Linked DNA regions of Arabidopsis thaliana. The protein of the gene in region 2 interacts with the protein of the main gene of each other region in a biochemical or structural test. Each region holds a gene or a part of one and is shown on either strand. Other genes may lie near its edges.

What was found.
Region 1: the proteins of PSBP-1 (region 2) and DEG7 form a complex in vitro, tested with the Arabidopsis thaliana proteins (one study listed by BioGRID).
Region 3: the proteins of PSBP-1 (region 2) and WAK1 form a complex in vitro, tested with the Arabidopsis thaliana proteins (one study listed by BioGRID).

What each region holds. Positions count from the first base shown.
Region 1 is NC_003074.8:795,322-805,887, reverse strand, and holds the start of DEG7 (DegP protease 7), read right to left. Parts: upstream 6,389-10,566; 5' UTR 6,169-6,388; coding exon 5,883-6,168; intron 5,594-5,882; coding exon 5,523-5,593; intron 5,380-5,522; coding exon 5,245-5,379; intron 4,987-5,244; coding exon 4,928-4,986; intron 4,727-4,927; coding exon 4,690-4,726; intron 4,368-4,689; coding exon 4,242-4,367; intron 3,789-4,241; coding exon 3,699-3,788; intron 3,257-3,698; coding exon 3,191-3,256; intron 3,097-3,190; coding exon 3,040-3,096; intron 2,917-3,039; coding exon 2,851-2,916; intron 2,627-2,850; coding exon 2,519-2,626; intron 2,200-2,518; coding exon 2,119-2,199; intron 1,773-2,118; coding exon 1,723-1,772; intron 1,567-1,722; coding exon 1,401-1,566; intron 1,000-1,400; coding exon 523-999; intron 1-522. Other genes in the region: AT3G03370 (uncharacterized protein), read left to right, coding at 7,007-7,040, 7,114-7,205, 7,325-7,444, 8,005-8,183, 8,294-8,465; AT3G03360 (F-box/RNI-like superfamily protein), read right to left, coding at 8,970-9,260, 9,326-9,508, 9,623-10,256, 10,382-10,383. UniProt on the Arabidopsis thaliana protein: Probable serine protease.
Region 2 is NC_003070.9:2,042,930-2,053,183, reverse strand, and holds PSBP-1 (photosystem II subunit P-1), read right to left. Parts: upstream 5,551-10,254; 5' UTR 5,245-5,550; coding exon 4,998-5,244; coding exon of another isoform or gene 4,994-4,997; intron 4,888-4,993; coding exon 4,655-4,887; intron 4,565-4,654; coding exon 4,514-4,564; intron 4,259-4,513; coding exon 3,998-4,258; 3' UTR 3,745-3,997; downstream 1-3,744. Other genes in the region: AT1G06700 (Protein kinase superfamily protein), read left to right, coding at 1-26, 112-198, 309-434; AT1G06690 (NAD(P)-linked oxidoreductase superfamily protein), read left to right, coding at 1,145-1,385, 1,491-1,582, 1,660-1,700, 1,788-1,952, 2,030-2,052, 2,153-2,224, 2,314-2,481, 2,628-2,710 and 2 more; NIH (nuclear DEIH-boxhelicase), read right to left, coding at 5,851-7,311, 7,398-8,477, 8,608-9,594, 9,699-9,788, 9,871-9,904, 10,170-10,222. UniProt on the Arabidopsis thaliana protein: May be involved in the regulation of photosystem II.
Region 3 is NC_003070.9:7,433,561-7,444,809, forward strand, and holds WAK1 (cell wall-associated kinase), read left to right. Parts: upstream 1-5,610; 5' UTR 5,611-5,951; coding exon 5,952-6,795; intron 6,796-6,880; coding exon 6,881-7,054; intron 7,055-7,142; coding exon 7,143-8,332; 3' UTR 8,333-8,553; downstream 8,554-11,249. Other genes in the region: WAK3 (wall associated kinase 3), read left to right, coding at 743-1,619, 1,721-1,879, 1,953-3,142; AT1G21245 (Protein kinase superfamily protein), read left to right, coding at 3,282-3,782. UniProt on the Arabidopsis thaliana protein: Serine/threonine-protein kinase that may function as a signaling receptor of extracellular matrix component. Binding to pectin may have significance in the control of cell expansion, morphogenesis and development.

The DNA.
Region 1 (10,566 bases), on a different chromosome or scaffold from region 2:
TGCCTTGAATCACAATAAGAACTACTGTATAATTACTTTTTACCAAAAAAACGATATAAAGAAATAGTTAAAATTGCATATACCAGAAACATATTTAACCAAGATAGTAATTCAGTTCACCAGGTCATACATCTATGGTTTTCTTGTAGCCTCCATAGATTGTTATCTATCAGACTTGTAAAAGTAGTTACCAAATCTAACATGTTCTTGAGAAATAATCTAAGTAACTACTTTGTGTTATCAAATTGTACTCTTTGATGATGTAGGAACTCTGAACCTTGAAGTCAACATTGTATACTATTTTATACAGGTACGTTCAGTGACACACCCATCTTCTGTGCAAATTATTGAATCAACTGATACACCCAAACTTACTCAAGTATTATCAAATGTTGTGAATGAAAAATCAATTGACTACTAAGAATCAAAAAAGAAACAGTGAGAAATAGCACACCACATAAAAAGTATTAAATTTCAACAGCTGGTGAAACTGATAACTTTGAGAGAAGTTTTCGTCTTTACCTCAAACATGACAAGTGCAGGCTCAATAGCACGCTCAGCCAATGAAGCATTAGCAGACAGTGCTGTTGCACCTTCGAAGTCTCTTAAAACTGTAGTATCTGTTTCCATTGCATCATCAGATTTAAATTCACTGCCATATAAGGAACCGTTTGCAGCAATCCCATCTGAAGAATCCTCGTCAACTCTTTGTTTCTTTGCTTCTGAGCCAAAATCATTCTGAGAACCATCCCCACTAGAAGTTTCCATAATCGCTGCAATATCAGTAACCCCACGAACATTCACTTCATGCATGGGTTCCGTATCGTGATGGCATAGAGAAATATCTTGGCTTATAGGAAAGCCATTATTACCAATAGATGGTGAAACAGAAGCAGGTTCAATTGCAGGTTTCGCATCCCATAAACCGGAACTGTCATTACGGGTATACAACTGAGGAGGAGCGTACCATTCATGATGATCAATCGTGACTAACACAGACTGCAGGAATGGAACCCGACAATAAGTACTTCTCGTTTGAGTATTAACATAGAGTTCAAAACGAAACGTGGACAAGCAAGCATGTTAATAACAGGAACGTTGCTAACGCAAAAAGATCCACAGTTGTGAAAATTATAGTCTTAAAGATAACGGTTTTCCGTAAAAAGTGATCACAGAGATCTAGCAGCACTGCAGTAGCACAAAATTTCACACACTAGGAACACCGAGTAGAGAGGTAATATTATCACAGAATCAACAAACTGTTTGCAAGAATGAAGATGCTGATATGGAGTAGCCTAAGAAAATATCATATATAAATGCTAGCATCAAATTTTGACAAGTATATGCTTACAGTGGGTTAGGAAGTTAAGCAAAAAGATTGTTTAAACAAGAAATATCACCTTCTTGCGATGACGATCAGTGTGAGACATATATTCCAATGGAACACGAGCACCCCTAGAAAGCTTTGAAAGAACAGATACTAAGTCTCCAAGACTGGAAATATCCTCATTAGCAACCTTCTTTATGATAGCATGTCGAGGGACCCCAGCTCTAAATAGCATGTATCTGAATAGAAAAGAGCTCTTCAAAGTAAATCCAGAAATACAGAGACACGTAATCATTTACATTAACAATAAGCTCACATGTCAGAATATTGACACATCAGTCAAAAATAAATCAAGAAAACGTGAAAATTTTGATGGCGGAAGTAGAGGGAATTACCCAGGGTCCGCAACATAAGCCAGGCCACAAGGAAAACGAAAATTGCGAGCCTGTTAAATCACAATATTTTAAGATCAGCTAATGCCAATAAGAAAGTGTCAGTGAAATACGTGTAAGCTTCTTTATTAGCAGGAGGTAGTGTAGTCACATCACTATTTCACTTAGTTATGCTTCCATAATCAGATCTAGCAAGACAGTGTGGGGGATAAAGTGGATCCACAGCATTTATTATGAATAAAATATCTAGCATGTTGATATGATTCTCCAACTAATAGAACATTAAATAGTTACAAGCCATAATTAAACACAACAGTTCCACCTGTACGACACAAGAATATCATGCATGCAGGCACAGAAATTTCCAGATAATATCTTTTCAAGTCATAGTTAAGTTACCTGCTGATAAGACAACGGATGAATTACAGCACCGCTTACTTCCAGGAAGTGATCTGGAGTGATTGAGTGTAAATCTTGTACCTGTGGCAGGAAATACACAAACACATAAGGCTCTTGATTTTTATGATAGATAGGAAGTATAAATCACATTAAGGCAGAATTCTAAATGCAAATTAAGTATTGAGGAACTCCATCTATCAGGGGAAACGAAAAGAGCTACAAGAACAAATTTAATGACCAAAATAAAAGAGAAGAGACGGCTACATATATTTTACTTCTAGTCTTTGCATAGTCTCCTGCTTTTCTAGTCAGTATGTGACAGGGCAGAAACTAAACACAAGATCCTAGAAGACTACGAGGAACATAAAACCAAAGTTAGAAATAGAAGAATGGAACTCACTGATACACTAACAGATAGTGGTTGTCCACCCCTTTCAATCTCCAATTCAAGTATCTGGCCAACACCGTCATCAAGCAGATTCTCCAAGTTCAAAAATTGTGTGAGCACCTGTAATAACAATCAAACGCATAAAGGAAGATTTAGCAAACTGAGGAAAAAGGAACTAGACAATCTAAGTGCACTGATTAATACGTTCTGTGGCCAGGTAATAACCAATCTCTAAACAATACGTTTCTTTACTAATGTTGCCGCAAAAGATATCACAATTCTCGATTACTTGAGGCAAAAAAAATTTAAATTCTCACTAAGAAGATGCAATCAAGACAACTTACTGTTCCATTCACCCGAACAAGAACATCTCCCGGCTCCAAATGTTTATCAGCAGGGCCACTTGGCACCTACCATCACGACATATCAAATTTAGGATAAAAAGTTTCGAATTTAACCATCACTTAAACAATAGCCATATTCTTTGAAAATAATTATTGTATTGAATGTTATTAATAAAGCAATGCACTCACCACAGAATCGACAACAAGCATTCCTGTTTCCCCAGTTGGAGATGCATGTCGAACCACCTACACGATCAAGAGATAGCATTTTGTAAGGTGTTAGTGAGCATCACGAGGAAAGCTGATGCCCTAAATGATGGTAAGAAGGAATAGTATGTACCTGTTCAGTTTCGCTCCTGAGACCAAGTCGCCGTATCTCATCGAATCCTTTATGAAGAAATGTCATCTAAAGTACACAAGAAAACAGATAAAAGCTTACATAAGAAAACCCCAGAACTAATAATTAAGTAAGAGATATTGAACTTCCTCTGAATCTCAAATCTAACAATCGTTGGAAAGTGAATAGAAATTAAACCATGAACTATTTCAGATCCCAAGGATATTCTTTCTATCACCAGCCACAGTAGTCCAGATCAAAGTTCCATGGTCATTCAGATATCAAGTAATATTCACGATTTTCAACGTATATATTTTCCCTCTAGGATTTGAACACAACATTCATATCGCATACATTTAATTGACATACCATGTACATGTAATGGTATGTGTAGTTTTTCAGACAATAAACTGAACCCAGCTATTTAAAAAAGAGTCAAAAGTTGATATTCGCGGAAATTTTCGTAACGGCACTATGAAGAGTCTCAAAAATCAGAGAGGGAAAAACAAACCTGAAGTGTACCACGAGGAATATGAACTGCTTTTGGCTTATCCGTCCGCGAGTCAATGCTTTTTTGGAGAAAACTTAACGCCCTAACAACCTTCCAAACAAGAGAACCATTCTTGGTCAAAAGTCTTAAGCAAATTTCTAACTAAACTTCAAATTAATATAGGGGTTGAAATACAAAATGATTTGTAAAGAACAAAAAAAATGAGATCCAGAACCATGTCTGACTTTCCCAGTGTTTCCTACTAGATTCTCAGGATCCCATACATGAAAAGAAGAGATCTGAAGTAGATGTGTAGTTTATTCGTAACATTGTACACACTTCCAGCATGAACTATTTTTCGGAATACCAAGCACATTAAACAACCCTCTAGTGGAGGCTTTATACACTTATCAATTCTTAACTTTGACAGAAGCAGAAGCTACACAATAATCTAATGTTCTGAATTTACAGGGGTTATTTCAGTGACTAAATAAGTTACACCATCTCGATTCTAGTCGTAACTGAACCATCGATACAAGTATACGAGAAACAGAGATTGCTCACTCGTTGAAGTGGTAGGAAGAAGGCTGATGCACTTGACGACTTGCTGCCAGCATTCAAAGCTACTGCCCTGCCTTGCCAATCAATGACGGGAGAACCACTTGAACCACCTTTAGTACCTGATGCTGCCTATAAACACAGATACCATATTAACAAACAGTAGCGTATGTGTAAGGTTTACACTTTGAATAACAGTAGCATAACATACTTGTGTATTGCACAATAAGCTACAAACAGGAAAGTTTTACCCTAGTGGTAGACTCGTGATATTTTAGAGTAAATACGAGTAAGAGACACATTTTTGTGGAAACAGGGATTAACCATAAGCATGACACGACTAAGAAGAGAAAACAAGGCTTTGACACAGAGTGACAGCATGCAATTCAGTTCAAAATAAGTTAGTGACTAAAATTTAAAGCAATAAATATTAAAGAGGACAGAGTCACTTTACTTGCATATAAAACGTATTGAAGTCGTTATAACCATCCCTGCACCAAAAAATAAAATAAAAATTACAAAGCAGGTAGCCATAAGAAACTATAAAAGGTACCGGTGGTATATTACTAGTTCAACAATTACTACCTATATGAAATTACGAAGATTTCATGCAAGTATCAAGTAACATCAAACAAATTTTCATGTTGAGGAATAAGCAGAACTAAAAAACATGAGCAGTGAAGCAGAGATACTTTTTGTAATGTGGAGCATCCCGATCCAACCGCGCAAGAGTACCAGCCAGTATGGAAACCTGCAAATCAACACTCCAGTTACCAGAAGCATTACTTATCCATAAATGCGTCTTAATGCACCAAACATATATTAAAATGCATTTTTTTTTGCACCCTAAGTTTGACATTTGACAGAATAACTTGAACAATAGATAGACAGTTCTGACCTCATCAAAATTTAAATTGAGAGCTAAGTTGAGTAAGTGACTGCTTTTATAACATGAAACTGAAAAATACAGTCTAAAATATGAAGTAATCCGCCATCCTATGTATCTTACCTTTTCTCCGCTATCATTTCCAACAACCCTAATTTCGAGTCCAACAGAAGCCGCCTCTGGGGCAAGAGGAATTTCTTGGTAAGTCAAAAACTGTACAGCACTGGGATCATAACAAAAGAAGCCAAAGTCATGGACCTGAAAAGAATACCAAAGAATGTCAGCCTGATGACAATGGACAAGTCGAGAAGGGAGAAAAGTAAACATAAAAAGATGAGACACAAATTCTAGCTCCTGCAGATGCATGCTCATTTGATCGAACATAAACCGAAATGACTTACCGGATCCCTGTATACAGGATAGATTGGGATTTCCTCTCGGTTCACAAACATTGCCTCAGCAACTACTGGGCCTACGTAAGAAGAAAGAATTTACAAATCAATTTTACTGAACTCTAAAGAGATTCTCTGTCTACTCAAACCCAGAAGGAATGACCAAATAATCTCCATATCCATATCGAGCTAAGCCATTCTAGATAAACATGTAACTAATACCTATGGAAAATCGAACAATCCAAAAACAAATACTTTGAAAAACCATGATCAGTTCTACAGTTCCACAACAATAACATCATCTCTTATGAATTCTTGAAACCCAGCTAATCTTCTGACACTCGTTTCTCAACAAGTCAAAAGGCGCACCTGGCTTAACCACATGGCGATTGGTGAGGATGATCCCACGTCGCTTATCAACGATAAAACCAGTAGCATAGCTAGCACCGGCGGACTCGGTATCAAAGGCGCGACAAGCCGTTGTGCGGAGTACAACGACGGCGGGAACAACCTTACCGAGAGCACGACGCCAATCTTCAGCGGTGGCAACGGATTCAGTTAAGGGAGGATCGATCTCTAAACACAAGTCCTCCTTCATGACAGACTCAGTAGCCATTGATGCCTGAGAACCCAACCTCTCCAACGGATCTCCCATTTGATCTCCGTATCAGCTTGGGAGAAAATCCGCGGGAAATGGGGTTTAGGGTTTTTGGATCGGATTCTCTATACTCTCTCCTTCAAGGATATGAAGAAGAAGATTGGGGAAGAAATCTGATGATAGTAATTTGTTTTGCCTTTCTAAGCGATTTTTATTAGTATATTCTTAGTGCTCCGATTAGTTGTTAAGTATTAGAGTATAGCACATAGAATGAAATTAAATATCTGTTAAGACAAAATGAAATTATAGTATAATTTATGTTTTGGAAAAAATAAAACAGTATATTCTGACTAGGCTTGTACCGCGATTTAATAAAAATATTATACTTAAAGACTTACGTTTATATGATTTGTTAATTTGATAGTGGAGTTCTTATATGAAATTGAAATTGATTTTTCGGTTAGGTTTAAATTAGAATTGATTTTGGTTTCGGTTTACACTGGTTAAGAGAAGAAAACAAAAACAATTGCACGCGATGGGGATTTCAGAGAGGAGTGCGTAGATTAAAAAAGGCATGATTTCCAAAGGGGTACACCCACAGAAGTGCTCTCACGCGCTCAACGCTCACTTTGTGAGAGTGGGGGTGAAATACAGCCTTCTGATTGGTTGAAAAACTCTAAAAAAAGTGAAATAGTATACATGTTGCTAGCTCCATATTAGTTTTTCGTCTTCTTCTCTCAATCTGATGAAAGTTGTTGTTTTTAGGTACAATTCATTCTATTCAAAACAATTTTGACGTCTCTCAATCCCATTTTAGATACAATTGATTCTATTTCAGGTTTTGGGGTTATTTCTCAAATCGATTCCTGTCACCAAAATCAAAATCTGAAAGCAAATGGTTGATGAGGATCACTTAGAAGATTTTGTCTGTGTTTGACTATGGACTTTTAGAAAAGTGAGTTATGAAGCAGATCTTGAACTTGAATGTTATTTTGTTGGCAGGTTATACAGAGCCGTTGGATGATAATATTGAAGTATTGGTCCCTGATGATGACCATGGACTCTATGCAATTGACATTCTAGATCCCTCTTGGGTATAGTAAAGTAGCTAGATATTACTTTGTGCATTGGCTACTTGTATGCAGTTGTTAAGTTTAGGAGTGAGGATAAGTAAGATGGAAATTGTATCTGCAACCATTTTTGTATCATAAAGAAGGTTGCTAATGAGGACATTTCCGGTCTTGGAGATTTAGTATCTGTTCTTTCAAAGCTTTCTAGGGGTGCTCGTGTTCCATTGGAATATATGTCTCACACTGATCGTCATCGCAAGAAGGTGATATTTCTTGTTTAAACAATCTTTTTGCTTAACAAATCTCTGCTGTTATCTTAAAATCCTTGATGTCACCAAAAAGACACAGATTTTTGTGAATTTGTTATATGCTGCCAATGTTTACATTAAACGATTCTGTTTTCATCGAGTAAAAAACAGAGGATCAAAATACAACTTTTTGGAAAGTGATTTGACAATTTACTTTGTTTAACTCTCTTGATAACATCACTTCATAGGGATTGCTAACAGACTGTTTTATTTTTCAATGTTACAGCATCTGAATAATCTTCCATTTCGTTTTAAAAAAAACAGAGATTTTGATTTCTTCAGTCATCTGTTCTTGAGAGATCGCCTTGGTGGTGGTGATGAGTCTCTGAAATAGCCAACCATATACATTTAGACAACTGCCATTAGAATTCCACAAGGACAACCTATGACTGCAGCTTTCCATGAAAACATTGCTTCTCTGGCTGCTTGGTCTGTGTCGAGCATGGTTCTTGGATTTGCATTCCACATATTTTGTTGTTGTTTGCGTAAATGTTCGGATCGTTCAATCTGTCTAGCTGAGGACTCTCATGGATTCTACCTATAAGTTTGTTGTTGCTCAACTCCATACATTCAGCTCACTGAGCTTGGATAGTTTCTGCGGGATTTCGCCTGAGAGGTTATTGTGTGAAAGGTCTACCTTCTCAAGATTTCCAAAACTTTGTGGGATCAATCCAGAGATGTCGTTGTATGAGAGGTTTAAAAGCTTTAAGCTTTTGAGATTGCCTAAAGAATATGGGATTTCTCCGAATAGCTTGTTATGGAGAGGTCTATCAGAGTGTAGAGGCAGACGTTATTGTTGGCAAGACCTTGCTTTGAATTCTTCCAGTTCACTGCTAAGTTATGTATTACGATAGTGAAGCTGTATATGAAACGCAAAAGCGAAGATGAACTTACGAGAGATTCTTTCATGCCTGTATCCCAGGAGATGAAGGGAGAGATCCATCAAGATTGTTCTCAGAGAGATCCAAGACCTTGAGACTTGTGATATTTGATATGCCTTGCTTCTGTTCCTTAGGCCAAAATTTGTTCGATTCCGCAACTTCTTTTGTCCTAGGTTTGTCACCTCTGACTGATTCTTTGTTTATCTTAGGTACGTGGATCTCAAGGCATGCATAACTAGAATTGAAGAAAATGGATATGGAGCAAATCTTGCTCCTTGGCTCAGCTCCCCACCGGATAGGCTGCAGACAATGCAAATTGATTCTTACATAGCCCGAAAAGAACTCTCTGTTGCTGAATCAAAAGTACTGGAAAGAAATAATATCAAACTGTGTACATGAGAGCTGGATTTGGCGGGTACTGTTTCTCAAGGCAATGCTCGCTCACTAGACCGTTTTTCCGAGGTTAGCCAGTAGATTGGAAATGGTAAAACGTAAAAACAATTTCACAACTTAAAATCAATTTAACAGAATTCGATTATTTCAGTAAGAAAAACAAACAAGAGATTTTCATCTAGTGTACTACTTAAATGTAAAATGACTTAAGTCACTCTGAATCGTTTTCTTCTTGAGCTGAGCACAATGGAGACATCGTTGTTGCGAGGAAGCATTGGAACCATCTGACGCAACTCTACAAAACGTCTTCCTTTGATATAACCTTCCAACCTTGCGACAATCAACTCTAATGTTGATATGGTTTTAAGCACAAGTTGCAGAAACGAAGCCACTTGCTTTGACTCTACATTCCTGCGGGAAGTGTTCTTAAACTCCGAGCTCCAGGATGGATCCCAATTCAAGCCATGAGAATCCAAGTATATGTCAATATGCTCTTCCTGTAATGCAAGTATATTTCAATATGATGATTCAAAATTCGGGGTCAAGGAATATTCATAATTACCGGTATGGGATATGAGCCGGCAGACCCCATTGGGTGTATGGTTAGCTTCTTCAAGTCAGGCGAGTTTTGTAGCACCTTTACTATACCATGAATAACATATCGAGAGATCATTGTCTCAAGTATCAGAGCTTTAGCCTTCAACTTTGGAAAAGAAACACCACGGAGCTCGGCAAGAGATAACATCTATAACAAACAAAAAAAAACAGAAGACAAATGAGTGTATACCAAAAAACACACTAGTTTTCTTGAAAATCAGAGCCTAATTATGTAAACTAAATCAGGAGTGAAAACATATACCTTAAGAAAGTTTGCCCCCAAAGTAAGCTTCTCCACATTCTGACACTTTTCTAACATCTTTACCACCATGGTCTGATGAAAATCAGCCTCCAGTTTATTATCAACTATTGCGTAAGCGGTAATGTCTAGTTCAGCTTGGGATAAAGAGGAGACATCAACTAAAGCACATGGTTTCTCAGAGTTTATCAATCTGAGACAACGGATATGTGGTGCAACGAGCTGTGTTGGCTCCATTCGACATCTACGAGTGATTTCTAATGTTATCAGACGCGGTGATTTGCTGAGATCAAGGACCTTCAGTTTCTTGCAGAAAAACAACAATAAGCTTTCGAGAATGGGACAACCAGATAGAATAATAGCAATGGATTCATCAGAGATGTTGCAATGATACAATGACAGGTTCTTCAGGGATGTCCAAGACACAGAACATTTGGGATTCAGAGATATAAAATCCTTTTTGCAGCCGAAATCAAGGTAGAGTTGCTTGAGAGAGGAATTGATGTAAAGGAATTCAGGGATATCATATTTATCCTCATCGAGATACAGGGACAGATTCTCCACGTTTCGGGACATGGCGAAGTTGATCCAACTGTCGATGTCAGCATGCGTGTCGGGTCTGCTGATACAGGCTGCCCTGCAACAAGAACAGATACGAAAACTCATCATCTTGGGAGCCCTGTAGCGATCTAGGATTCTGTTAATACAAGGAGCATCCGGTCTGTCCCTATGGAAGGAGAGGGACCATGTATCAGACCATACATGCCTCCATCGCCTGGATAAAACGGAAGTTTTGATCGCCAATCTGGTTGGAAGATAGGAGAGAATTAGTTGGAGAATATCATCAGGCAACCTACTGATCAAGTCTCCAGCTTCTTTGAGATAGCTAGGGCTTGCGCATGTACTCTGCAATTTGTATAAATATCGCATCACCCACATAAGAGAAA
Region 2 (10,254 bases):
GAGGTCAACAGAGTCTTGTAACCTGGGTGAGTATACATACGTTCTGGACTATAATGTTTCGTATTAATTGTCCCCTTGGCTTTACAATTTCATTTTATTGGCTGTGCTCAGGCGACACCAAGACTCAGTGAAGATAAAGTGAAACAGTGCATTGATCCAAAGCTAAAAGCCGATTACCCTCCAAAAGCAGTTGCTAAGGTACCTCGATACATACAATAGTTTCATATTCATGTCTATTAAATTTCCGTTTTCGATATATTCGTGTCTTTGAGATTGACAGAATATGTTATGTTGGCAATATAATGCAGCTAGCAGCGGTGGCAGCATTGTGTGTGCAATACGAAGCTGAGTTTAGACCAAATATGAGCATAGTTGTGAAGGCGCTACAGCCTCTCCTGAAACCTCCAGCAGCAGCTCCAGCACCAGAATCTTGAAACTTTTAAATCTTTTTTTTCGCTGCAACTATCAGAAAGAATCTACATAGTACCATTTGCCATAAATGATAATGAGGTTGGTTTTGAGAGTGATAACTACTATTATTAAAAGATGATATTATGTTTCATTTGATGATTTGATTTTGCACACAAATTTTGTTGTGCTAGAAAGAGAGAGAGATAATTGATGGCAAAGTTTATTGTTGCCGTTTGCTGAGTGGGAGAGAAAGGAACTCTGATTTTATTTATATGATCCCTCTTATTCCTATTTCTCTCTACCTTTTGGATTAATAACCTCAAAAATTCGAATAACTTGATCATTGAATATTTGCGTTAGTCGTGTATGATAATTACAATGTTTTAGTTTTCTTAACAAATCGTTACCTTCTTCTTCTTTTTGTCGTCTCTTATTTATGAAAAAAAAAAAAAAAAAAAAAAAAGAAACAAGCAGCATAACAAAGCTAAAAGGCCCAACTGAAAAGTAAATAAACAAAGGCCCAACCAAGCCCAAGAGAAAACCAATGTCAGTTTTGTTTTTTTGTTTTTGAATTTCACCGGTTATTCATTAAAGAATTGTTTGGCCCGCCAACAACATACGTGTCCATATCCACAGTCTCTCACCTCTCGCAGTGCCCAAACCTCTTCTTCTTCTTCTTCTTCTTGGCTTCTCCTCCTCCTTTTCCAATTTCAAAACCCAAAAACAAATCAGCATGGCCATGGCTACGCACTTCACCTTCCCTTTCAACTATGTTGTTTCCGAAGGCTCTCATGGAAGAAGAAGTTTCGTCCGGAAGCTGGTCAGAGCTGTAGCCTCCGGAGATTCCGTGGCTCCGGCGATTTCGGAAGAATCAAAAGTGAAATTGGGTGGCTCGGATTTGAAAGTGACGAAGCTTGGGATCGGAGTCTGGTCTTGGGGTGATAACAGCTATTGGAATGATTTCCAGTGGGATGGTCAGTTCTCTTAATTTCGATTCTCAATTTTATACATTTTGTGAAACAAAAGTATTGAAATGAATTAAAAGTTAATCTCTTTTTTTTTATTCTCTGTGATGGTAGACAGAAAATTGAAGGCGGCTAAAGGTGCTTTCGACACCAGTCTTGACAACGGTATTGATTTTTTCGATACCGCAGAAGTTTATGGTTCCAAGGTAAGCGTAAGAAAGCTGATCACTCTTCGTAAATTGGTTTATTCTGAAACTAATTTGGAAATCTCCATCTTTTATAGTTTTCCCTGGGTGCTATAAGCTCTGAAACTCTTTTAGGAAGGTAATTTGTTTCGAAAACATATAACAGTGTGCCACACTATCCTCATATATATTCCTCTTGACTGTCATTGGTGAGATTTTCGAACAGATTCATCCGTGAGAGAAAAGAGAGATATCCCGGAGCTGAGGTTTCGGTTGCAACCAAGTTTGCTGCATTGCCATGGCGATTTGGTCGTGAAAGTGTTGTCACTGCCCTTAAAGATTCCCTTTCCCGGCTTGAGCTTTCATCTGTTGATCTCTATCAACTGCATTGGTATGCACCCCTAATTCATGTTGGAGTAAACAACACTAGAAGGTAACAATCTCACTATTTTCTTAATTATATTTCAGGCCAGGACTATGGGGAAATGAAGGTTTTTTCTTAAGAGCAGCACTGAATCTACTTTTAACTAGAGTTCGTGTCACTTTTGGTGATTATATCAAATCCATTGACATTGTGAGTTATGTTTTTAGGATATCTTGATGGTCTTGGGGATGCTGTTGAACAAGGACTTGTCAAGGCTGTTGGTGTTTCTAACTACAGCGGTATCATTTCAATCTGTTTTTTCCTTCTCACGGATGCATATCTTATGAACTTTCAAATTCATTATACTTACTGTTGTGCGATTTTTCAGAGAAGCGGCTTCGTGATGCTTATGAAAGACTCAAAAAGAGAGGAATTCCTCTGGCCTCAAATCAAGTCAACTACAGTCTGATATACAGAGCTCCAGAGCAGACTGGTGTTAAGGCTGCTTGTGATGAGCTTGGAGTTACTTTAATTGCATATTCCCCCATCGCTCAAGGTAATCTGCCTTTATCTCCTTTGCGTTGTGTTCATGTCTATCGTTCTCTAGAAAAGTTGCATCAGGCTCTTATAGTATTGACGCAAAACAACCTGGCTAATGAACACATACATTTTCCGTTATTTGCTCTTTTGTCTTTTTTCCAGGTGCTCTAACTGGTAAATACACCCCAGAGAACCCACCCTCAGGTCCTCGGGGTCGCATTTATACGCGTGAGTTCTTAACAAAGGTAATAGCTTTCGCTGCATATATCTAAGTTATTTAACACAGGCGTGTATGTCTGCAAAACCATAGTTACATCTGAATAACCCTCGAGTCTTCTAAGAAACAGATTTTTGGATTTTGATAACTTGTATATCTCACTGTTATAAACCTGTCGATTTTCTCCTCTAATCCTGCTTTTTTCTTAGTAAGTTCTGTTTTGAGACAAAGTATACACTTTTATACAAAACACAACACCAATCAATGTACCTATACAGAAATTATCAAAAGGTAGCATAATAGTGCCAGGTTTCTTCACTAACTTTGACTTGTGACGTTACAGCTTCAACCCCTGTTGAATAGAATCAAACAAATTGGGGAAAACTACAGCAAAACTCCCACACAGGTTCTTTCCCTTTTCCTTATGCACTCTGTTTTTCTTTTTCCCTGTCCAAAAACGTTAAGAAAAATACAAAAGAGTAATTGTGTGATCCATATTAAGCTATCCAAGTGTACACCCTCGATTTTGCATCAAATCATATGCCTTCTTGTTTTGTTGTGTTGTGCTGTGCAGATAGCATTGAACTGGTTGGTGGCACAAGGGAACGTGATACCCATCCCAGGAGCCAAGAACGCAGAACAAGCCAAAGAGTTTGCTGGAGCGATAGGTTGGAGTCTGACAGACAATGAAGTGAGTGAGCTACGGTCCCTGGCCTCTGAGATAAAACCCGTCGTTGGTTTCCCTGTTGAGTATCTCTGAACTCTTAACACTCTGTTTGTAGCATTTGTAAAGCTCAAAAGTTACAATATGAACTAAAAGTAGTATATAGATGATGGTAAAGTGTTGTAATACATATGCAAATAAAATCTTTTTGCCTCTTTGAGAACTTTACAGTAGCCAAAAAGAAAGAGGAGGGCCTTTGGCATATGCTTCAATAGATCTAGTTAGAGTCAGACGTCAAAATTCATCTGCGTTTTAACCTTTCTGTTGACTAGAAGAACCATTTGATGCTTACCTCTTTTCATATCAGCTTCAAGCAGGCTTTCTTCTCACTATCTTTGTGCTTTCAAGGATTTAGATTTAGTCTATAGCTTCTTTCTGAGTCAATATCTTATTAATTTGAGAAAATATCTATTGAATATAGTTGTTTTTTAAGAAAACTTGGAAAACGAGTCTGTTATCATAGGTACACAAGTGATGCCGAAAAGGTAACATCATCTTGATAGTTCTCAAAAGCTCAGTTTCATTTTCCATTTTTTACAAGAGACAAATGAAGAAAGCAAGCAGAGCATTGTTACGTTGTGTTGCTTTCACTCAAGCAACACTGAAAGAAGTGGCTGCGCTCTCGACAAATTTCCTGGCTCCCTTGAACCACCTCTTGTCTCCAGCTTGTGCTTTGCAGATGTAAAGCTTCCCTCCATTCACGGTTGCTGTGATCAGCTGATGCTTCCCACCTTCGTCTCCATCAGCCGTTCTTGTCAACACAGACAAGTAATAGTAGGGTTTCCCACCAACTTCCTGAGATGATGACTCCAGAATGTTTGCTGTTGCCACTGCATTGTTGTCAAAGCCTCCCTGTAAGAACATCAGATTCACACACACACAGAGTTAGAACTTGATAACTCACTCCACCTAAGGTAAGAATCTTTCTTGTAATAATCATCGACTACTAGAGAGGTCTTTGAAGGTTATCAGTTAAAAAAGCTTTTGAGTTTTGTTTTATCAGTTAACAACGAGGGAGACAATGTGTTCTCTCTTTAGTGTTTGATTCTCTTATTCTATTCTATCAGCTTCTGGTTTACTTATAACAAATAACAATGGGAAGTTTACCTCAGAGGCAGTCTCACCGAAGTAAGCTTGTTTCCCTAGGAGGTAATTAACCTGCATAAAGCCCAAATCACCACTCAGTCTCACACTTCATTAGATTTTGTAACATCAATACCTTTACAGATGATGGAGTAAAGCAAAGACCTGAGAGAGGAACTCTTCGGGAGAACCGTAATCAGTGATGGACTTCTTGTCGGTAGGAGTGACCATGACATTGAGATTGCTAGTAGCATCGAAGTTGTCTTCGAACCTAAGGACTTGTCCTGGATACTCAATCTCTTTGCTTGGGTTCCATTTTGCTGGAACCTGCACTTTGAACCCATCTCCATTGTATGGCAAGAAGTCTGTGTTCGTCTTTGGCTTCCCAAACACGTTTGCTGCAACAAACCAAAAAATAAAAATAGGATGAAAAAAACACAATATGTTCTTCAAGATTCTTCTTCAAGAAAATGAAATGATCCAAGGTTATTTTATTTTATAAACGCACCAGCTTCACCGTAGGCGGCATCAGCAGGAGATACTTTGGAACCAACAGCAGCGGCGCCGACGAGGAGAGTGAGAGCAAGACGGCGGGAGACGGCGGAGTTATCGTCTTCATGAGACTGTTGAGCTTTACAGATGATCTGAACAGGTTTGGAGAGCGACACGTGACGCTGGGATGAGGAGGAAGATGATGATCGTGCGGCTGATGAAGCCAATGCGCTCTGGTGTAGGAAACACGCACTGTACGCCATTATCTCTGTCTCTCTTTCTCTCTTTCTCTCTTCTCTCCTTGTGTGTGATTAAGTTATGAAAGTGTTTTTTGAGGATTGTTGGTGTGTTAATGTATGGAGGTGAAACCAAGAGTGAAGCTGATTGGTTGGTTTCGGATATTGGAGGATCTCTCTGTTGATGTCCAGATAAGGCTGTTGAGGTGTTGTATTGTGCCACGTGGCAGATACGCTTTCTTCTTGTTCCACGTCAGATTCATAAGCCTTCGATTCCATCTATTTTAGTATTTTACTCTAAAGCCATTCCATGATCAAATCTTTTTTCTGCTCACACTAAGACACTACAGTACTGGATCAATAATGGCTTTTCTTCTTTCAGTTACATGCGTATATCTTAAAACGTTTATAACGATAGAACAACGGAAGCACTAAGTGAGAATGAATACAAATTATCTAACAAAATTGTTGAAATTAAGAATCTGTTACACTTATGTAGACAAGTGCCATTTCAAAACTTGGTTTCATGACAAACACCGAAATGCTCATTAAAACACCAAAGTGGAATGGGCATCATACTTCCCTTCTTCTTTCGGTTTTGCTTAGGTTGGTGCAGTATTTGAGCCACACTGCTCATTGATCGGAAGGTATGCTCGGTTTTTCCTCAATCAAACCTGACTTGTTTCCCTGGCTCAATACATTAGTGGAAGGCATTTTCTCTTCCATATTGTTAACCGAATCAAAGTTGTTAGCTAATTTGCGCTTTTTCTTTTTTGGTTTCTTAGCTGGAGCAGTGTTTGAGTCAGGTTGCTCATTCCCACTGACAAGATTCGAAGGAATGCTCTCTTTCTCCTTACCCGGATCCAACCTGTTGACTGACTCAGGATCTTTTTGCTCATTTCCGTTTGCCAGATCAGAAGGCTTGTTTTCTTCCATGTTCCCCAAGTCCAGGTTGTTGACTGATTTGCACTTTTTGGACCTTGATCGCTTCTTTTTTGGTTGCTTAGCAGCTTCCATTGGAGCAGTGGTTGGGTCAGGTTGTTCATCCCCATTAGCAAGATTCAAAGGCAAGCTCTCTTCCATGTTACCATAATCCGAGTTGTTAGGTAGCCTAAGCTCTGTTTGCTCATTCTCATTAGCCAGATCCGAAGGCGTGTTCTCTTTCATATTCCCTAAATCCAAGTTGTTGGCTGACTTGGGCTCTGTTTGCTCATTCTCATTTGCCAGATCGGAAGGCTTGCTCTTTTCCATCTTCCCCAAATCCAGGTTGTTGCCTGATTTGCGCTTTTTAGACCTGGATCGCTTCTTTTCTGGTTGCTTAGCCGCTGAAGCATCTTCACCTGGAGCAATGTTTAGGTCATGTTGCTCATTTCCATTGACGAGATTAGAAGGAATGCTCACTTTCTCGCTACCCAGATCCAACTTGCTGACTGACTTAGGCTCTTTTTTCTTATTCCCATTTGCCAAATCAGAAGGCGTGTTCTCTTCCATGTTCCCTAAATCCATGCTGTTGGCTGAGTTAGGCTCTGTTTTCTCATTCCCATTGGCCAGATCAGAAGGCGTGTTCTCTTCCATGTTCCCCATGTCCAAGTTGCTAGCTAACTTCGGCAATGTTTGCTCATTCCCAATAGCCAGATCAGAAGGTGGGTTCTCTTCCATGTTCCCGAAATTCTCTTCAATGTTCCCCAAATCCACGTTGTTGAGCGACTTGCACCTTTTGGACTCTGACTGCATCTTCTTTTGTTTTGTAGCCGCCGAAACATCTTCCACTGGAGAAGTGTTTGGGTCAGGTTGCTCATTCCCATCAGCGAAATTTGAAGGCAAGCTCTCTTCCATATTACCCAAACCCAACTTGTTGGCTAATTCGAGCTTTGACCCCATTGGAGTAGTGTTCGGGTCATGCTCCCGAAGCTCATTGGGGTTAGTGGAAGGTATGTCATCTCTGGGACTCGTTGCATCTACCACTGAAGTAATAGGTTGCACAGCTACAGTTTGAACTGAAGATTGTGCGAGGCTATCATATGAGAGAACAGAAGCTATTGCATACATAGAAGCACCGAGATGAGGCGGCAAATTTTCCTTTGGATGTTTAACCTACAAATGCATATGGAAGGTTGAAAAGGATGACATTGCCAAAATAAAATAATGAAAATCTTAAATCGTAGTGATAACTCATGTACCTTGAACAAAATGGACGCCATTAGTCTCTCTCTCAAGATGTACATTTGAGCAATTTCAAAAGCTGTAACCTTGAAAGGCAGCCACCGATCCACTACTACTTTTACTGAATTTTCCGGCCCAAGCATTATTTTCTCTCCAGGCCTACCAACTTCTTTATCTATGTCCATCGCGTCTCCTACATTTCCTACTTTGTGGTCTTCCTCGTCATCACTCTTAACAGCATCATAGCTCTCTGTAGTAGAAACGGCTATCTCTCTTGAAAACAGTAACACAGGTATAGTGGGAAGAACAGTGCAGCTCCTTATCACCACACCCCAATCTCCTCGAGTGATCTCATCAAAAACAATTAAAGCTTCGTCAAACTTGGTAGAGGACATGTCAACATTGTTTGATAGCGAGGGCACACGGACTTTGGCTCCAGCAATAGTCTCTATTACAGACCTTGTCCGATTCTTGGAAAGTGGGCACATCCTTCCCAACATAGGGTACAATCCAACTGCTATAACAGCACGGAGAATACCCGGATCATGAGCATTCAGGCTACAGTTTGAGCTGCTGCTAGGTATGACCCCATGTCTATTAAGTTCTCCCTGAAGCTTGCGACACAGATCATCCAGCCTCTTCATGACAACTTGGGAGATGAAGTACTTAGAACAAAACTCCTTAGCTTGACCACTTGCTTTTGCATTTTTCCAGCACTGAAAAGCCGCGACAGTGGCAAGATGATCACTGTGGTCTCCATAAAGCGATGCAAGTTCATGTTTTGCGGCAGCAGCCTTTTTTCTATCACCTGGCGACAAGGGCATGGTAAACGGATCCTTCTCGTCAGCTGCACATGCCAGAATAAGTGCTGGATCCAAACAGTTCACTAATATGGCGAAATAAATCATCTTGCTAATCCGAGGATGAACTGGAAGCTGACCAAATTTCTGTCCAAGTTCAGTCAGCTCTTCTTCAGGAGTCAAAGCTCCAATATCTTTAAGGATGATTAATGCATTTTCAATACTTTGAGCAACAGGCGGGTCCATCAATTTCTGAAGGAAATCATTTACGTTGCAATTCGGATCCAGCATCTTAACCTGAACATATTGATATTATAGAAGGACATCAGTAAGAAATCAAGAACGCAAGAAGTCTCAAACAGGACGCTACCATGCATGAATGACAATTAAACATCATAGAAAAAATCTACGTTAGAAAGAACAGCACCTGCAAGCAGAGTTCATCCACTGGCATTCTCATAACTTCAGGAACTCTATATTCGGGCAAAGACGCTGCCCGGAGTTTAGAATATAGATGATAACAGATGCCAGCTTGGCAACGGCCTGCTCGGCCTGCCCTCTGTTTTGCATTTGCTTTTGATACCCAAGAAGATTGGAGCGTTGACACGTCATTATAGGGATCATAACTCTTTTCCTTCATCCGACCACTATCTATCACATAAACCACATCATCGATGGTAACTGCTGATTCAGCAATATTTGTTGCAAGTACAATTTTGCGACAACCACGAGGGGGGCGATTAAAAACTTTCTTCTGTTCCTCAGCTGGAACCCTTGAGTGAAGACATAGAATGATGAATTTAGCACTATGTGCAAAAAACCGATCATCAAGCAATTTCTCTTTTGTTTTGCTTATTTCCTCCCACCCAGGTAGAAAAACAAGAATGGCACCATCTTTTGAATCGCTGCATATTTTCTTCATTAACTTCACTATAAGACCCACATCTACTTCTTCTGGTTTGATTGTCGCCATATACTTATCAAGTAAGTCTTGTGCTTGCTGAGAATTGGACTGGATGTTACCCGCATGTTCCCTGATTATTTGAGCAGTTTCAAATTGATTCTCCTTTTCAGCTAATTCTAATGCTGTTATACCTTCTTTGGACTTCAGTGTACAGTCAGCGCCGACTGAAAGGAGCTTACAGACATCGCTAACCCTGCCCTTTCCAGCAAAGACCATAAGTGGTGTTAGGCCTGTCGTTGAGTTCTGGTAATTGTAAGCCTCATGACTTCCTTCAGATGAAACTAGATCTACGAGACAATCAAACTCATCATTTGTCCATGCCAAGTCGATTGCTTCATCCAAAGAAACTTTATCTTCATCTTTAAAATCACGTTTGACAGCAGAAAGTAGATGACTATTCTTGTCTGAATTCAGGACAGAGAGCGCATCATCCAGAAAAAAGGTTCTCACCTGTAGATACGGACGCAAAAATATTGTTTTCCAATACAATGAGACTAAGAAGCAAATTCTATAAAGAGACGGATAGAGAGAGACATAAAGAGAGAGGAATTAACTGGATAAGTGAATCCAGGTACTCGGACAACTGGACAACCTCCAAAATATTCAGAAAACCTCTCAGCATCAAGAGTAGCACTCATCAGAATCTGTTACCATAGAAAATATTTATTCTTATACTGTATATGTATCATAGCAATGGAAAACGAAGACGAGCAAAACATAACCAACCAGTCGGAGATGAGGATTAGACGGAAGCAAGTCCCTGCAAATAAAAAAACATCACAAATTGATCCACACCCAAAGATTAAAAAAATAAATTATCCTGAGTTATCGTTTTCATCACTTAGCTTCAACTAAAGAATTCAAAATACAAGTGTACAAGTATAGCAGCTTTTGCATCTAAATTATAGCGCGACACCAATTAAACAACAGCCATATGATCAACTTTTTCCGTCATATTTATTTGACTTTTTTATTCATTTTGACAAGCTGAGCACCTCAGTGTTTAAGAAGGCCAGAGTGTGTACCTTAAAATCATTAACATGAAATCAGAGTAGGAGTCCCTTTCATGGATTTCGTCCTACAAAGTGATACACGGGTCAGTGACCAATA
Region 3 (11,249 bases), 5.4 Mb from region 2:
TAAGTTAAAGTAGTTATGTTTGTTGTGTCACAAGAAAGAAGAGTCATAACTCTTGACTTTTCATGTCTGTTGGTTTGTATTTAAGTTAATTGTTGTAAACCTTGTAAAACAGTTGTTGTATTTCACTTTCTCTATAATAGAAAGACAAGTTCTTCTCTTTATTGTTATGTTGACGATCAAACCAATTGTGATACAAAGTCTGATTCTCTTTCTCTGTTCTTAACTCTGTTCTGTTTCTAGAAGGAGATTCAGTTTCTAACAAAGTGGTGGATTTGCATGGAAATTTCTCATAGATAACCTCTTGAAGAGTAAGCAGCGACATGACACATGAGGCAAGAACTATTCAAATTCTTCGAAAACTTGTTGACATTTATAAACTCAACACACACACACACACAAAAAAACTACATATTTCTACTATTACGACAGCAGAAGAAAACAGAGCATGTTGTGATCATGATGAGTCTTATTCCTACATTGTCACTATAACGAGACTTTCATATATGAACAATAAATTGGAGTTTCCTGGAAAAATCAAGACAAGAAAGAAAGGACAGATAAAGAAGTTGACGCATTTATATTTTTCTAACGTCTAGTAGTCTGAATCTTTACTTTTCTTCACATTTGATTATTCAACAATGTCAAATCAGGGGTTACTTTTCAAGCTATAAGAAGCGAATAAGCGATGAGAGAAAACTCAAAGAGAAACAAGTTTAGAGAGAAAGAAAGAGAAAGGTAGAAGATGAAGTTCCAGGAGGGTGTGTTCTTGGTGGTTATTTTCTTCCTTGCATATACTCAGCTTGTGAAGGGGCAACATCAACCTCGCGAAGATTGTAAACTTAAATGTGGAAACGTCACAATAGAGTACCCTTTTGGTATTTCTACAGGTTGTTACTATCCCGGAGATGATAATTTCAATCTCACCTGTGTCGTGGAAGAGAAGCTACTACTCTTTGGCATCATTCAAGTGACCAATATTTCTCACAGTGGCCATGTAAGTGTACTGTTTGAACGATTCTCTGAATGCTACGAGCAGAAAAATGAGACTAATGGAACTGCCCTCGGGTATCAGCTGGGTAGTAGTTTCTCTCTCTCCTCCAACAACAAGTTTACTTTAGTAGGATGTAACGCTTTATCACTTTTGAGCACTTTTGGAAAGCAAAACTACTCAACTGGATGCTTGTCATTATGCAATTCTCAACCAGAGGCAAATGGAAGATGTAATGGTGTAGGTTGCTGCACAACAGAGGACTTCTCTGTCCCGTTCGATAGCGATACATTCCAATTTGGCTCAGTTCGCTTGAGAAACCAAGTTAATAATTCCTTAGATCTATTTAATACTTCGGTATATCAGTTTAATCCTTGCACCTACGCTTTTCTCGTTGAAGATGGTAAGTTTAACTTCGATTCTTCAAAAGATCTTAAGAATCTGAGGAATGTCACGAGGTTCCCTGTGGCACTAGATTGGTCTATTGGAAACCAGACATGTGAGCAAGCTGGAAGCACAAGAATATGCGGTAAGAACAGCTCATGTTACAATTCTACTACTAGAAACGGGTATATCTGCAAATGTAATGAAGGTTATGATGGGAATCCATACCGTTCAGAGGGTTGCAAAGGTACTTCATATTAATTTCTTTGCTTTCTTTCTTCTTTTGAGTGTTTATAATCTTCCTCATACGTTTTTGGTTGCATCTTGTGCACTTATTCCTTTGGTCAGACATCGATGAGTGTATTAGTGATACACATAACTGTTCGGATCCAAAAACCTGTAGAAACAGGGATGGAGGCTTCGATTGTAAGTGTCCATCTGGTTACGACTTAAACTCCAGTATGAGCTGCACGAGGCCCGAATACAAACGGACTCGAATTTTTCTTGGTAAACACTCTTCACTGGTTCTAGATTCTCTTTAAATCAACTCGCTCTAATCATCTATGCATGATGTTATCAGTAATCATAATCGGCGTCTTGGTCCTCCTGCTTGCTGCGATCTGTATACAACATGCAACGAAGCAAAGGAAGTATACCAAGCTCCGACGACAATTCTTTGAGCAAAATGGTGGTGGCATGTTGATACAGCGACTTTCAGGAGCAGGGTTGTCAAACATTGATTTCAAAATCTTTACTGAGGAAGGCATGAAAGAGGCAACTAATGGCTATGATGAGAGCAGAATCTTGGGCCAGGGAGGTCAAGGAACAGTCTACAAAGGGATATTGCCGGACAACACTATCGTTGCTATAAAGAAAGCTCGGCTTGCAGACAGTAGACAAGTAGATCAGTTCATCCACGAAGTGCTCGTGCTTTCACAAATTAACCACAGGAACGTGGTCAAGATCTTGGGTTGCTGTCTAGAGACTGAAGTCCCCTTGTTGGTCTATGAATTCATTACCAATGGCACCCTTTTCGATCACTTGCACGGTTCCATTTTTGATTCTTCTCTTACATGGGAACACCGCCTCAGAATAGCGATAGAAGTCGCTGGAACTCTTGCTTATCTTCACTCCTCTGCTTCTATTCCAATCATCCATCGCGATATCAAAACTGCAAATATTCTCTTGGATGAAAACTTAACTGCAAAAGTAGCCGACTTTGGCGCTTCTAAGCTTATACCAATGGATAAAGAGCAGCTCACAACTATGGTGCAAGGCACTCTAGGCTATTTAGACCCAGAATACTATACCACAGGGCTTCTGAACGAGAAGAGCGATGTGTATAGCTTTGGGGTAGTCCTCATGGAACTGCTCTCAGGTCAAAAGGCATTGTGCTTTGAACGGCCACAGGCTTCAAAACATTTGGTGAGTTACTTTGTTTCTGCCACGGAAGAGAATAGGTTGCATGAGATTATTGACGACCAAGTGTTGAACGAGGATAATCTGAAGGAGATCCAGGAAGCTGCAAGAATTGCTGCAGAGTGTACAAGGCTAATGGGAGAGGAAAGGCCAAGGATGAAAGAAGTAGCTGCAAAGCTAGAAGCCTTGAGGGTCGAGAAAACCAAACATAAGTGGTCGGATCAGTATCCTGAGGAGAATGAACACTTGATTGGTGGTCACATCTTGTCTGCACAAGGCGAAACCAGTAGCAGCATTGGCTATGATAGCATCAAAAATGTAGCAATATTGGACATTGAAACTGGCCGCTGATATTGCTCACAAAATCACATGTATCTCTTTTGTTTGTAAAAAAAGAAAACCACTTATTTGTTGCTTCATCAATATGCTTTGAGAGCTTGTTTGTTCATCATCAATAATCATGTTCATATTTTCCTTTACTTGGTATACTATGGTGCAAGGCACTCTAGGCTATTTAGACCCAGAATACTATACCACAGGGCTTCTGAACGAGAAGAGCGATGTGTATAGCTTTGGGGTAGTCCTCATGGAACTGCTCTCAGGTCAAAAGGCATTGTGCTTTGAACGGCCACAGGCTTCAAAACATTTGGTGAGTTACTTTGTTTCTGCCACGGAAGAGAATAGGTTGCATGAGATTATTGACGACCAAGTGTTGAACGAGGATAATCTGAAGGAGATCCAGGAAGCTGCAAGAATTGCTGCAGAGTGTACAAGGCTAATGGGAAAAGAAAGGCCAAGGATGAAAGAAGTAGCTGTAGAGCTAGAAACTTTGAGCGTCAAAACAACCAAACATAATTGGTCGGATCAGTATCGAGAGGAGAATTTACACTTGCTTGGTAGCAACATCGTGTCTTCCCAAGGCGATACCAATAGCCGTGGTTATGACAGCGTCAAGAATGTAGCATTGCTTGACATTGAAGCTGGCCGCTGATAAATTTTGTTTGTTAAAAAGTATATTGTTTAATTCTTTATTGTTTATCTCCTTTTGTCTTTATAAACATAACCAGAATATCAAAACATGACATTCAAAAACATTGATATCCTTGTAGATCATCCATATATACTCATGTTCACAATTCTCCTATATTTTTATATGCTAACCAGTAGCTGATTAGGTATTAGAAAAACTACCTAGAGTTCATAAATATGATTCCATACGACATTAATATATCATTGTGCTTAATTATAAAGAAAAACAAAACAACTCGAGAAGAAAAAACACTAGAATTTAAAGTAGGCGTCAAAAACAGAGGAGAGTAAGTATACTATGAATATGATCATCGAAATCTTCAGCACCTGGTCGAGTTCATCGTAGATACCGCTTCCTCAAACCAAACCATATGATTCTTTGTTAGTTGCTTGGTAAACTAAAAAAATAAAAGACTCATTTGGTGCAAACTTCATATTTGATCTACAGCTTGAGTCATCATGTTTCGTTACTCATCTACAACCCATCATTCTTGTTGCATAAGATTGCTTGATATTGTATATCACATCAAATCTCTTAATTTGTTTCTTGTTAAAATATATGATTTTTAGTAAGTGTTAGTCAGCAATCCTACGATTATTGGCAGGTTAGTCACCAATCAAAGCATGATCACTTGTTGTCTACTTCCATTTGATTACCCCAATTCATGTTTATTGACTTACTAATAATACCAAGCACGTATTCAGACTAAAATTATCTTAGAACCAACTTCAGTGGATGAAGATAAAAGTTGGGGAAAGTGCAGACTCAAATATTAAAGGAATCTCAATTCTCAGTTTTAACTTTTACTTGTATGTTTGGTAATGCTTTTACCTTTGGTTGCATGCTGCAAAAGTGATTTACTCTGTCCCAAGACTGAACTTCAACTTGTGTATATGATTCAATTAGACAAAGGGAGAGGAAAGTAGTGAGTTTTTGTCCAGCTCACTGACAATGTATCGATATGATGTCTTTAGACTTTGCTTTTTCGTGTAACTACTCAATTTATGCAATGATGAATCAGTTTTTGTCTTGTACCTGCGTTTAATAAAAAGAAGAAGAGTTTTACAAAAAACAAGAGTATTTTCTAGTCATAGACCTAGTTAGTCTCTAACTAATGGAGATGCCCTAATGTCCCACGATCCGGAGAAACATGTAAAATCCGTTTTCATCGTCATTATCGTAGTTATTCAGTTAACATGAGCTATATATTTAACTCTTAAGATTAGGTAAATGTATGTTTCCTTTCTTATGGAGTAAAAGATCAATTGACATGTATGTCATCTTCTTGTTGCTCAGGTATATATATATTACTCTTCTCTTTGTAATCATCTAAATGTAAAACTCTTAAACTTCGATTTGTGACTCGAAATGTCTAAATGTGATGTTATAATATGGGGAAAAAAAACTCGTAATAAAAGCATCAGAAGAAAACAGAGCATGTTGTGATCACAGGATTCAGGAGTCTTAATTTCTACATATAGTCATTATAGTTAAAAGGCAATTTTCATATCGTCTAACTAATTAATATATAATTAAGATTAGTTTAAGCTTAATTTGAGGTGGAAAGATCTGTTAAGAAAAAGAGTAAATTTGCCTTGTGATATCCAGAAAAGAACAGAGGACCAAGACATTTGAAGATTCCTTCCAACTATCAACTGTCTTAATCTTTGAATAGTAAGCAAGTAAGTGTCACTCACTATTATTAATTAACAAAAGCAAATTGGTTTCCTCACTAGCGAACAAGATATCAATAAAAGACGAGAAGACCGAGACCTGTAGTTGTCCTCACTAACGAACAAGATATCAAGAAAAGACGAGAAGACCGAGACCTATAGACTATAGTTGTCACTGTTTAACCGAAGCAAACGTGGATGTTAGGATACTATACAGGAATAAGCAGCAGCGTACTTAAACGTCCTCTTCACTGGTTACGTTGGTTGTGTAGTTGAATTTTAGTCTTCTTGCAATTTCTGGGAAAATGGGAAGGGGCCTGCGAAAATGAGTGAGAGAGAACATCTCGTATACAGTTGTTTCTTATAAGAACAAGGAGATTAGCGAAAAAAACTCAAAAGAGGAACAGAGTTAGAGAGAGAGAGAGAGAGAGAAATAAAGAGAGAAGAGAGGTAGAAGATGAAGGTGCAGGAGGGTTTGTTCTTGGTGGCTATTTTCTTCTCCCTTGCGTGTACGCAGCTGGTGAAGGGGCAACATCAACCTGGTGAGAATTGCCAAAATAAATGTGGCAACATCACAATAGAGTACCCTTTTGGCATTTCTTCAGGTTGTTACTATCCCGGAAATGAAAGTTTCAGTATCACCTGTAAGGAAGATAGGCCACATGTCTTAAGCGACATTGAAGTGGCAAACTTTAATCACAGCGGCCAGCTACAAGTTCTGCTTAATCGATCCTCTACTTGCTACGACGAGCAAGGAAAAAAAACTGAGGAGGACAGTTCTTTTACACTGGAAAATTTATCTCTTTCCGCCAACAACAAGTTAACTGCAGTAGGCTGTAACGCTTTATCACTTCTGGACACTTTTGGAATGCAAAACTACTCAACTGCATGCTTGTCATTATGCGATTCTCCCCCAGAGGCTGATGGAGAATGTAATGGTAGAGGTTGCTGCAGAGTCGACGTTTCTGCCCCGTTGGATAGCTATACATTCGAAACTACATCAGGTCGCATCAAGCACATGACTTCTTTTCACGACTTTAGTCCTTGCACCTACGCTTTTCTCGTTGAAGATGATAAGTTCAACTTCAGTTCTACAGAAGATCTTCTGAATCTGCGAAATGTCATGAGGTTCCCTGTGTTACTAGATTGGTCTGTTGGAAATCAGACATGCGAGCAAGTTGGAAGCACAAGCATATGCGGTGGGAACAGCACTTGTCTCGATTCTACTCCTAGAAACGGGTATATCTGCAGATGCAATGAAGGCTTTGATGGGAATCCATACCTTTCAGCTGGTTGCCAAGGTTCTTCTTTCTTTCATGTTCTGAGTAGTAATATTTTTCCCATTACATATCTTGTTGAATCTTGCGTTCTTTTTCTTTGTGCCAGACGTCAATGAGTGTACTACTAGTAGTACTATCCATAGACATAACTGTTCGGATCCCAAAACCTGTAGAAACAAGGTTGGAGGCTTCTATTGTAAGTGTCAATCTGGTTACCGCTTAGATACCACCACTATGAGCTGCAAGCGTAAAGAGTTTGCATGGACTACAATTCTTCTTGGTAAGTTTCCCTCACTATTTCTCGACTTGATGTTTCCCAGATCAACTTATTATAATCATCTCTCTGAATCTACGATGTGTGTGATCAGTAACCACCATCGGCTTCTTGGTCATTCTGCTTGGCGTTGCCTGTATACAACAGAGAATGAAGCACCTGAAGGACACCAAGCTCCGAGAACAATTCTTCGAGCAAAATGGTGGCGGCATGTTGACACAACGACTCTCAGGAGCAGGGCCGTCAAATGTTGATGTCAAAATCTTTACTGAGGATGGCATGAAGAAAGCAACAAATGGTTATGCTGAGAGCAGGATCCTGGGTCAGGGTGGCCAAGGAACAGTGTACAAAGGGATATTGCCGGACAACTCCATAGTTGCTATAAAGAAAGCCCGACTTGGAGACAGTAGCCAAGTAGAGCAGTTCATCAATGAAGTGCTCGTGCTTTCACAAATCAACCATAGGAACGTAGTCAAGCTCTTGGGCTGCTGTCTAGAGACTGAAGTTCCCTTGTTGGTCTATGAGTTCATCACCAATGGCACCCTTTTCGATCACTTGCATGGTTCCATGATTGATTCTTCGCTTACATGGGAACACCGTCTGAAGATAGCAATAGAAGTCGCTGGAACTCTTGCATATCTTCACTCCTCTGCTTCTATTCCAATCATCCATCGGGATATCAAAACTGCAAATATTCTTCTGGATGTAAACTTAACTGCAAAAGTAGCTGACTTTGGTGCTTCAAGGCTGATACCAATGGATAAAGAAGAGCTCGAAACTATGGTGCAAGGCACTCTAGGTTACCTAGACCCAGAATATTACAACACAGGGTTGTTAAACGAAAAGAGCGATGTTTATAGTTTTGGGGTCGTCCTAATGGAACTGCTCTCAGGTCAAAAGGCATTGTGCTTTAAACGGCCACAGTCCTCAAAACATCTGGTGAGTTACTTTGCGACTGCCACAAAAGAGAATAGGTTGGATGAGATTATTGGCGGCGAAGTGATGAACGAGGATAATCTGAAGGAGATCCAGGAAGCTGCAAGAATTGCTGCAGAGTGTACAAGGCTAATGGGAGAGGAAAGGCCAAGGATGAAAGAAGTAGCTGCAAAGCTAGAAGCCTTGAGGGTCGAAAAAACCAAACATAAGTGGTCGGATCAGTACCCTGAGGAGAATGAACACTTGATTGGTGGTCACATCTTGTCAGCACAAGGCGAAACCAGTAGCAGCATTGGCTATGACAGCATCAAGAATGTAGCAATATTGGACATTGAAACTGGCCGCTGATATTACAAATTCACATGTATTTCTTTTGTTTGTAAGAAAAAAAAAACTACCTCTTTGTTGCTTCATCAATAATGCTTTGCTTCATTAATAATGATTTGAAAGAATTTTTATAAATCATCAATAACCATGTTTGTAATTCCCATTGGTATACTAACCAGTAGCCAATCTGGTTATAGGCAAACTTAGAAACTCTTTTGCAAAATAGCAGATTACCAATATCAGTTCATAAATCTTATTCCATATGACATTGATGTTATCAAAAACAACTAGATAAGAAACACTAGAATCTTTACAAAAAGAAATGCATAACATATAGAGAAAGTTATGATCATGAACCTGGTTCCTAAATTCTTCATCTCCTGTATCTCTTCATCGTCAATTCTGCTCCTTTAACCATATTGTAAGCTTCGTAAAGTGGCGGAGGAGGTTTCTTGAGCATGATTGTTATCCTCACAACCTCAAACTCTTTGTTCAACCCCATCAAAAACTCGTAACGCTGCTCCTTCTCTCTCGCTTCTTTAGCTAGTTTCGTACTCTCGCAATTGCAACCACCGCACTTACACTCAGGTACAGGAGCATACTCCGACAACTCCATCCAAACTTTACTCAGTTTCCCAAAATACTCCTCAACAGAATCACCACCTTGCCTCAACGTCGCGAGCCTCCGACGAAGCTGGTAGATCTTCAAATCGACGCAAGGAACGAATCTAAGTCTGAGATTTTCCCACGCTTGATGAGCAGTCTTCGCGTACATCACAGACTTTACAAGCTCTTCGCTCATCAAATTCATCAGCCAATACTTAACTATTGTGTCGCATCGTTTCCATGGATGATAGAGCGGCGAGGAAGGTTCTGGCTGCGGGAGAGTACTGTCAATGAAACCGATTTTGTTCGTGAGTTCGAGAAAAGAGCGAAATCGAAATTTCCAGATGACGTAGTTGTCTTCGGCTTCGCTGAGTTTTTCGATAGAGAAATCGGAGGGTTGATTAATATCTGGAGGGAGATAATACGGTGAATCGGGGTCGGATAATGGAGATACGCTCTTGATAGTTTCCGCCATTGTCGTCACTGAGCTCTGCTTCTAAAACTCTAGGGCTTGCCCTTTTTTATCCCTTTCGATTTTGACTAACATTAAACAAATCATTTTCAAAATGAGAAAGAGAAAAAAAAAAAAAAAAAAAGATAAAGAGTTGGGCTTAATGGGCCTTGAGTTTCCCTCCGGAGCCCAACAAAGCCCCTAGGGAAGCTAGCGTCGATTGCAAGAAACGCATATGCTTCTTTCCAACGTTTTGATTTGTGGATACTAGAGAGGATGTCAATAAACATGATTGGTCCAAGCAAACAGTTGATCTTCCCTTCCCTTTGGTTGATATGAGTTCCCTGGCACCAACAAGGTTGGTGAAATCATTTCCCCCAAAATGTATACCACCCATTCTTCAACTTTCCTTCTTCATAATGGACTCATACACGATATGTGCGTCTCTATCTCACCCGAACCTTGTTTTTCTTCAAGGACCTTAATGTGTAAGAGCTTGACAGACTCTGTTTTTTTCTTCTTTGAATCAATATATAAGCGTTGGCTTTTCAACATCAAGCAAACTAGTTTTTTATCTTACCATTGATGATTTGCATTTTCTGACATGTGTTATTTCTTTTTATTGTTGTTCATATTTTGAGTGTTTTGTTTGTTTTTGCTCAGAAGGTATTATATGCACAAGATTTCATTGAACTGTATGCTGCAGATAATCATCGAGAAGCTCGTTTATCTATGAGGATTAAGCCATTGTGGAAGTTTTGGAAAACCTAATCTTAACTATCATTTGTCTTAACTACCAATAGGTCTAATTCTAAAAGACAGTGGAAATAAAAAAGCAGGGAAGAGAAGGGTTAGGTGAAGGTGGTCTACATAATTTGCCTGGAAATCAAGAAAAGTAAGAGAAGGATATTGGAGCGGACCATAGCACATGAAGATGAAACATTCTAATGGGGCTCCCATTTTAAAAGGGTCCCACAGAAATTTTATTGTAATTAAATATACATATATATATATATTGATTTTTAATAGGAGAAATAGTTAGTTTTATACATATTAATCTTAAATAATAGTGTGATCCAAAATATTTATAAATCTAACATACAATTAAATAAATAATTCAGAGTTTTGTTTAAATTGGTTTCTATTTACTCTATAGTTTTAAAGACAAAAGTACTTTGTTTTCGTAATTTAAATGGCCCGAATTTCATTGGTCCGGCTCTGTAAAATAATATTTACTATTGCAGATTCCTGCAATTATTGGGAAAATGGGGACTAGTCAACGGAAGCAAGTCAAGAGAACATATCAAGAATGGAGTGTGTTTTCTTAGCTTTAAGAAGCAGATGCTACGGAGAGATGAGAGAAAACTCAAAGAGAAACAAATTTAGTGAGACAAAGAGAGAAGGAGAAGATGAAGTTGCAAGAGGGTCTGATCTTGGTGGCATAATGCTTTATGACTCAAAATGTCTAAATGTGGGGAAAAAAACAAGTCGTAATAAAAGCATCATAAGAAAACAGAGCATGTTGTGATCAGGATTCAGGAGTCTCAATTCCTATATCGTCATTTTAAAAGGCAATTTTCATATTTTGAGCGTGAAATTAACTGTTAAGAAAAAGAGTAAATTTGCCTTGTAATATCGAGAAAAGAAGAGAGGACCGAGACTGAAGTTGACTTAAGAGGGTCTTCATAATTGAAGATTCCTTGCAAGTTGCAACTGTCTTAATCTTTGAATAGTAAGAAAATAAGTGTCACTGTTAACAAAATTAAATCGGTTTCCCCACTAACGAAAAAAATATCAAGAATGACGAGAAGACCAAGACCTATAGTTGTCACTGTTTAAATACTATACAGGAATATGCAGCAAACGTCCTCTTCACGCCTC